2 linked regions of the Alligator mississippiensis genome follow. Each later gene encodes a partner of the first gene's protein in a complex. Links are inferred from orthologs where the notes say so. Each region holds a gene or a part of one and is shown on either strand. Other genes may lie near its edges.

Region 1 (3,750 bases):
CCAGCTGCAGGAAGGGGCCTGAGGGCAGAGCCACACCTTGGAGACCAGCTTCCTGGGGATATAGGGTGGGGAGAGAGACCCCCCCACGCATCGTTAACCTGCTGGGGTCCTAGATTGGGCATCTGAGCTTCTCCCAGCCTCACTCTTTAACCATTTGGTGCCCACTTTGTTGGGGGCCAGGACTCCTCTCTGCCCAGCATTATTAACCCTTCCATTCCCTCCCCTGCCCTGTGTCCTTCCAGGCCAGCAGCCAATAAAATTCCACTGCTATATGTTTGAGGGGAGGGTCCTACATACCCCCTGCCCCCCCCCCCCGAATTGTGCATGAATCCCCCTCCCTCCCCTCACCTGCCCCCTCTGCTCTGTGTCCGGCTTTGTCATTTATGGCTTGTTTCATACTGAAATAAAGTTCTTTCCTGCTGGGCCCACTTTGCTCCCAGCAAGTTTGACTCAAAGTGACGTGATACCAGAAGCTTAGCTCTGGGGGCACCATGCTGCAGGGCATGGGGATTTCTGTAGGCAGCACTGTGCTGCAGGTGTGGGTAGTTTGATTCGGTGGGAGGGGGTGTTAGCAGCTGGTGCAAGTGCCTCTGTGGTGCCAGGGAGCACTGTGCTGTGGGAAATAAAGGGATTCAGTACAGGGGGTGCCAGGCCACAGAGAAGAGGTGCAGGGTCTCAGCAGTCAGTACTGACCCCCTGTCCTAGCCCTTAGGGGTGCTACAGGGCCTGAAGGCACTGACCCAAAGCCTCAGGGTTCAAGGGTAGCAGCATGAAGGGCCTCCATCCCAGCTGTGAGTGCTGACCCAAGTGCCCCAGAGCTAGGGGGCACCATGGGGTGGGAGTGCTCAACTGGGGGAGGCTTCCTGAGCCATTAGCACTGACCTTGCTGATTTGGCAGCACCTTTGGAACTGCACCCCACCCCTCCCAGCACTGCCCAGCCCTGGTGTCTATGGGCACCCTGAGGCTGCCATTGGGACACGGACCACAGTGGAGCACAGAGGCCACTGGGGCTGCTTCAGGGGTAGGAGCCCACATGCTCCCGCCACCCCTTCCAGCCAGACCCTGGGATGTCTTCTCCACCCCCACTTTCGTGGGAGCACCTGCCTAGGCCTTCCCTCCCCCACAGCCCTCCAACACCAGGGCCCCCCTTATCAGCAGCCACTCCCCTCCCTTCCCCCTGCCAGCTGGGCAGTCCACCAGTCCTATTTAAACCGAGCAGCCTCCATGCTTGCCTAGAGCCTGCAGAGACGCCCCCCACCTTGCTTCTTCCAGCCCCACTGTGCTGGGAACTCTCAAGGTAAGAGAGGAGGGCAAGGAGTGATGGGGAACCTAGGGGGATGGCTGGGTCCTGGCCAGGCAGGGGGAATCCTTCTCCCCATATTCACAGCTTTTAGGCCCACAGATCTTTCCTCTCTGGCCTTTACCATCCCCAGAGACTTTAACCCCTTAATAAATATTCTGTCACCTTCAGTACCCCAAAAACTAGCCCCCAACAAACCACAGCTGGTCCCAAAGGGACCCAGACTGGCACTCCACCCCAAGAGACGGGGAAACATGACTTTAAAGAGACACTCTTTGTGCCCCACTCCAGGGATAGCCACAACCCAGTGCCAGGTGAGGTGTGCCTGTATAACCAGCCCCCAAGATACCCCACCCAGAAGCAGCTACCTCTCAGCCTGTGTGAGAGGTCCCTGTATAACCAGTGTCTTCCCCACCTCCATTCACATACCTCACTCAGGAGGCATCTGCATCAGCACTGGGACAATGGGTTCCTACAATGGATGAACCTGAATCCATCCCCCAGCCCCTTCAACTTAAACCCTATACACTTCCCCCCCCAAACCCCACCCCATCTGGATATGACTAGAGCAGCTCTGACCGGCTGGGCCACAGCCTCATGGGGCTAGAGAAGGGGGAGACTACAACCACCTCACCATCTAGTGGATCCTCTGAATACTCCCCTCCCCCCCAACCCTGCAACTGCCTGCCCAGAGCTTTATGCAAAGAAACCCCCCCCCCCCCCCCCCATCCCCTTGTGACTCTGACTCCATCTGGCAGCTGTGATAAGAGCTGTTATATTTAGCACCTTCCACTTACTGCCTTATCAGCCCTGAGCAACCACCCCAAATAGGGGCAAAGCCACAGGCCTGGGGAGATAAGGAAGTTCGTGAGAAGCCCATTCCCACCCAGGACCAGATTGGAGCTAGCACCCACTGGAAGGGAAAGGCCCCCTGCTCCTGCCTGTGTCCCTGCCCCTTACCCACCCCCTAAGCCAGCCCTGGGGCCAGATTGGGGTCAGCACTCCTTGTAGGGCACAATGAGATAATTTTTCCCATTTTTCCCCCCAGCTCTTGGTATTGACACAACCTACTCAACATGGCAGAAGAGTAAGTGATTGGTTTCATGCCCAGCTTTGGGAGGGGAGTGGGGTCTCAGGAGTGGGGGTCTTGTGGAGCAACGGGGTGGCAGCCAAGATGCTTGGGTTCTACCCCAGTGGGGTTAGAGCAGGGGGCAGCCTTGGGAGGAGACTGGGGTCTAGTGGGTTAAAGCAGGGTGGAGACAGCTGGGACACCTGGGTTCTATTCTTGACTCACATGTGAGTCTTCTTGGGGAGAGCATCTTTGCTTTTCTCTGTGCATCAGCTGCTCCAATGGCTTGAAGTTGCAGCAAAGTAGGTTTAGACTGGATATCAGGAAAAACTTCTTCACTGGTAAAACAGGGAGGCAATGGAACAGACTGCCTAGGGAAGCTGTGCACTCTCCATCACTGGAGATGTTCAAGAACAGCTTGGACAGGCACGGGTCAGGGATGATCTAGGCACAGCTCTGCCTATATTCTACTGTGGTACTTCCCGGGTTTCTCATTTTTGCTGGTTGCTGCATGGGGCTGGGAGGAAATCCTGCCCCCCTCCCTTGCTGCTACATGTATTAGGGTTTTGGGGGTGTTTTTAAGCTTTCCTCAGAGGCATTGGGTGTTGGCTGCAACCAAGGCTAGGGATTGGGACTGGGCTGTGCCAGTGGTTGTGCTTCTACCTGGAGGTTCCTGGCTGGAGGGTCTTGCTCCTCTGCTTAGGGTCAGACTGATTGTTGTATTGGGGTCAGGAAGGAATTTTACCCTGTGGCCAGACTGGCCTGGACTTTGGGGGAGTTTTGCCTGCCTCTGTTGCAGGGGGCACAGCTTCTACATGGGAGCTCTTGAGTGTATATGAACAACCTTTTCCAGCAGCGGTCCCCCTGCTTTACCTGTAGCAGGTTGGGGTGTGATGCCTTGTGTTGTGTCAGGGTTGACAGTAGCTTTGCTAAGGGGTTATTATAGATTTGTAGGGGATGGTTTGGATAGGACTGATCCTGCCCCGGGCAGGGGCTTGGACTAGATGACCTCTGGAGGTCCTTTCCAGCCCTGACTTCTCTATGATTCTGATTCCTTCAGTACCCAGGCAGGGAGGGGGCTTCAAGCCATCCATCAGGCCTGCAAAGGGCTAGGGGACCCCCCCAGTCTCAGACAGTGCCTGTGTCATTCAGGGGCTGGGTTTGTCACTGAACTAATTTTTTTCCCTCTCTCTCCCCCCTAACCTACCCCACAGGGAGGAAGTAACCGTAAGTATCAGCATGGGGGCGCATTCCCCTATAATCAGCCTTTATTATTGGGACAAAGTCAGCCACTCCATTGGATGGACTGGAAGGCAGAAATGCCCCCTAGAGGAGAGCAGTCCCTGCCCCACCCCTGACCCCAAGGCAGCCAGTGCCCTT
Region 2 (3,750 bases), on another chromosome or scaffold:
TTGAATTCCCTCTCAAGGGGATTCAAACTTTTTCAGGAGTGAGACCAAACCACTGAACTAGTGGTATTCTGGGAAGGAGAAGAAGACAGCTCTCAAAAGGTGCCTCTCCACACGTGCGCACATGCGGTTTGCAGTGCCACAAACCCATCTGTGGTGCCTTAAAATGCACGTACTGCACATGCATGCATTTGCTGCACTGCTAATTTGCAGCACGGGTTTTTTGACATGGGGATCTCCTGGTAGCAGCTGCATGCACCACTTGAAACCAGAGCCTGGCTGGCCAGAGCCACACTCCAGCTGTAGGCCGGGCTCTGTGTGCACAGATTGCTACTGCTGCAGCCCCAGGAGGTCCCCAGGACCCCAAGTAAAGCTGCTGGGACCATCCCAGGTGCTGGCCCTAAGCCCTCCTTACCCCACTTGGGGCAACTTGCTGTGTACCAGAGCATTCATGCAGTTGTGTTCCCTGGGGACAAGTAGCAGTGGCACAAATTGTGCTGCTGTTATCTGTCCCTCCAGAAACACACATTTCCACTTGTGGGGACATGTCCAAAATGTTTTACCAAGGTTTGCAGACAAGGAAACTGATCTACTGAGAGGTTAAGCAATATGCTCAAAGTCACTCAGTGGATCAGAAAAATAAACACCCGTGGTCCACTGCATCATGTTTTTCATAGCTGTACAATTTGATAGAAACTCATAGGACAGACTTTTCTGATGTTTTGCTTTTTGATGATAAGAAGGGCACACACATTGCTCATTGAAAGCTCTTTTGATTGGGTTGGGTTTTTTTTGCTCCTATAGACAAATACAGAAGAAAAGGATGTACCCTATAATATTTGAGTTTTGATTTAAACTTTTCCAGAGATTAGGAGTTCTGGATTCAGGGCTTGGTCTCTGCTGTCACAACAAAAGGGGCCAGCTGCCCAAACATTTCCAGCTGCCCCAATATTTTCAGACTTGCTCCCATTCCCACTGACTTGTAGAGATACTTTGCTACTGAGTTCAAGAGAAACTGGATCAGATTCTTAACTTGACCTGAATATTTGCTGGTACCCATGTAATGAACTACCTAATTGTTATTCAGATATTTTCAGTAGTAATAAGGCTAAGCAATAAAAGGATAAATAGGCACAGGTAAAGCTTGCATTTTTGGCCTGATTTTTTATAGAAGTAGTATAGGTTTCCCCTTATAGGCACCCTTGACACAGTGATATATATTTAACCAATCTGGCTGAGGATCTAAGGATAGCAATGAGTTTAAAGAGGCCCAATCCTGATCCTACTGAAGCTAAAAAGTAAAACTATTGATTTGAGTAAAAGCTGGATTGGGGCCTTGGAATGCAGAGCTACTGGCTTTGTATAGCTTCCCTGCCCATAGGGGTGACAAATTCCCATTTGGAGTGGGTATCACTGAGATACATAGATATATATAGTGGTTTGGTGATGCAGTAAGCTGCAGCCCATTTAGGGCTTTCAGCCTGCTATATTAGCAGTGACAAAAGGAAGTGAGATCTGACAGAGACTTAACATTTGTTTGTGTACCACTTGTCCTCTGTTCAGCTTGTGACCACCAATAATTAACCATGGATGATATCTATAAGGCAGCAGTAAGTATGTTTTTAAACATAACTTTTGTCTAGGATTGATTTTGAGGTATTATATAGATTTTTTTGTGTGTGATTTTGCTAATCTCCCAAAGGTATAAGAAGACACAGTACTCATTCATGTTTAGTTTTTTTCTACAAATAATTAACAGGAAAATACTTAGGAGAAAATGTTCCTGTAAGTATCCCACTAAAATATTTACAACAAGTCCTCTCCAAGTTCTGTGTTGTGTAATAAAGAGATGAAATTTAAAAGTAATCTTATGTTCCTGGCTTTACACAGGACTAGGTGGATTCATTCTTGTGCACCAAAATTCCTCACAAAAAGTTTGTCGCCCTGTTATTGATATCCACTCTGAGAAAACATAGTGCCAATTATGCTCACTGTACTTGATAAAAACAGTGGCAGAAACTTAATGAGATGCAATTTTGCCTTATATAGCTGGCCATGTAGTTTATTCTATAAACCCAAAATATTTTTTCTCCCTTTTAATAAATAGAAAAGCTACATTATATTGTGCCTTAAACAACTGATTATGTGTAAATTAAATGGTATCTTTGCATTCTGTAATGTATGAATCTCTCTGTCCTGGAATCTTTGCTACCACATTCTGTGCATGACTTTCATGACTATCTGGTTACATATGGGGTTGTAGTTTTTTGGTAACTGATTATGACTTTATATTTTTATCACCACCACAATGATAAATGAGTTATGGGTAGATTCTAAAGAAACAGAGATCCTGACTGACATATGACAAAAAAACAGCTGTTCATCATATTTGCCTAATCTGTGACTTCTTGTCAATATTTAAAATCTGCACTAGCCTGGAACTCTATTCTACAAACTGTGCTTTTGGTGGTTTCAGTGAGCCTGATCAGGTCAGGGTTGTAGAATAAGACAACAGATCTTTAAAGAAAGGAATAAAAAGAGTGACCTAAACACTAAAGAAAATGCATGCCTCTTTATGGCTGTTTAACTCAAGTCCCATAATATTTAGGGACATTAGACATACACTCCAAAATGAAAAGGTGAAATATTTCTTAAGTCAGTAATGCTAAAAATTAGCCAAATGGATCTGTCACTCAGACTGATAGAATGCATTCTGTAGCACAAAGAGTTAGTGTAGGGAAAAAATTGCATGTACAAATATTAGCCTCCTTTCATATTGCTTAATGTTGAACACCATATATGGCATAAAATATGAATCCCTGATCTAACTCCATTGACTTCAGTGATCATCTCTCTACTTAGCCTGTGGCAAGTTAAAGGGCATTTTTGATATTTCAGGTGTTCTGCCTAGTAGTTGTGAGGGTTGTTCCTGACTGCTTTTAAAAACAGGTTAAAATGAGATTCTAGTTAAATATTGTTTTTTGTTGTATTGTTGCAAGATGATGGCACATTTTAACAAATAAATATTTAATTGATTCACATCAAATACTTTAAAAGCACCAAGAAATACACTCTAGAGCTGGATCCAGATGTGCAGGCACATGAGGTCGTAGCACTGCAAACCTCTTTATAGTGCCAGAAAACACACATATTGCATGTTAAACCATTTGCCCCACTGTTAATTTGCAGTGCTGAAGCAAAATTTGTTACTGGGATTTCTTGGTAGCAAGCCCCCCACAAAAAACAAAACAAAACAAAACAAAATGGATCAAAGCATGCCAAAGCACCATGTGCCAGGGACAAACACAGAGACGGGGGAGCGGGCAGCTCCCTAGATTCCCCATCTGGAGGCACACTGCGCCTCAGCCAGCTGCGGAACAGCTATGTGCAATGTGCCTCAACACGGGGGAGCAGCCAGCCTAGGGAGCTGCTTGCTCCCCCATCTTAAGGCACACTATGTGTCTACACATGTAGATGCATGCCCAGGACAGCTTACTGTGTAGAGTACTATACTAAACTGCTCCCACATTATTTGCATGTGTAAATGTGCCCAAGGAGACTTTAGTTAAATACTTATTTTTTGTTGTATTGTTGCAAGATGATGGCATATTTTAACAAACAAATATTGAATTTATTTTTATAAAATACAATGCTCCAAGAAAACCCAGAGGGTCACTTGTGCCTACATAAGGTTATACAAATACAGAGCTATTCTGGTAAAGTTTTCAGACTCAGCTGAACAGTACTAAGATC

What was found. Proteins that work in one complex are often made in the same cells at the same time.
Region 2: the proteins of TNNI3 (region 1) and TNNC1 are in contact, whole or in part, in a crystal structure (PDB 4Y99), measured with the Homo sapiens proteins. The link is inferred for Alligator mississippiensis from reciprocal best matches to the Homo sapiens genes TNNI3 and TNNC1. Residues at the interface, in NP_000354.4 of Homo sapiens: Glu32, Pro33, His34, Ala35, Lys36, Lys37, Lys38, Ser39, Lys40, Ile41, Ser42, Ala43, Ser44, Arg45, Lys46, Leu47, Gln48, Leu49, Lys50, Thr51, Leu52, Leu53, Leu54, Ile56, Ala57, Lys58, Glu60, Leu61, Glu64, Arg136; in NP_003271.1 of Homo sapiens: Asp3, Ile4, Lys6, Ala7, Glu10, Gln11, Thr13, Glu15, Gln16, Glu19, Phe20, Ala22, Ala23, Ile26, Phe27, Val44, Met45, Leu48, Gln50, Glu59, Met60, Glu63, Glu66, Asp67, Gly68, Asp73, Asp75, Glu76, Phe77, Met81.

The regions. Positions count from the first base shown.
Region 1 is NC_081828.1:39,426,758-39,430,507, forward strand, and holds the start of TNNI3 (troponin I, cardiac muscle), read left to right. Parts: upstream 1-1,184; 5' UTR 1,185-1,298; intron 1,299-2,349; 5' UTR 2,350-2,377; coding exon 2,378-2,388; intron 2,389-3,584; coding exon 3,585-3,597; intron 3,598-3,750. Other genes in the region: DNAAF3 (dynein axonemal assembly factor 3), read left to right, coding at 1-22. UniProt on the Homo sapiens protein: Troponin I is the inhibitory subunit of troponin, the thin filament regulatory complex which confers calcium-sensitivity to striated muscle actomyosin ATPase activity.
Region 2 is NC_081835.1:39,250,475-39,254,224, forward strand, and holds the start of TNNC1 (troponin C, slow skeletal and cardiac muscles), read left to right. Parts: upstream 1-1,500; 5' UTR 1,501-1,583; coding exon 1,584-1,607; intron 1,608-3,750. UniProt on the Homo sapiens protein: Troponin is the central regulatory protein of striated muscle contraction. Tn consists of three components: Tn-I which is the inhibitor of actomyosin ATPase, Tn-T which contains the binding site for tropomyosin and Tn-C.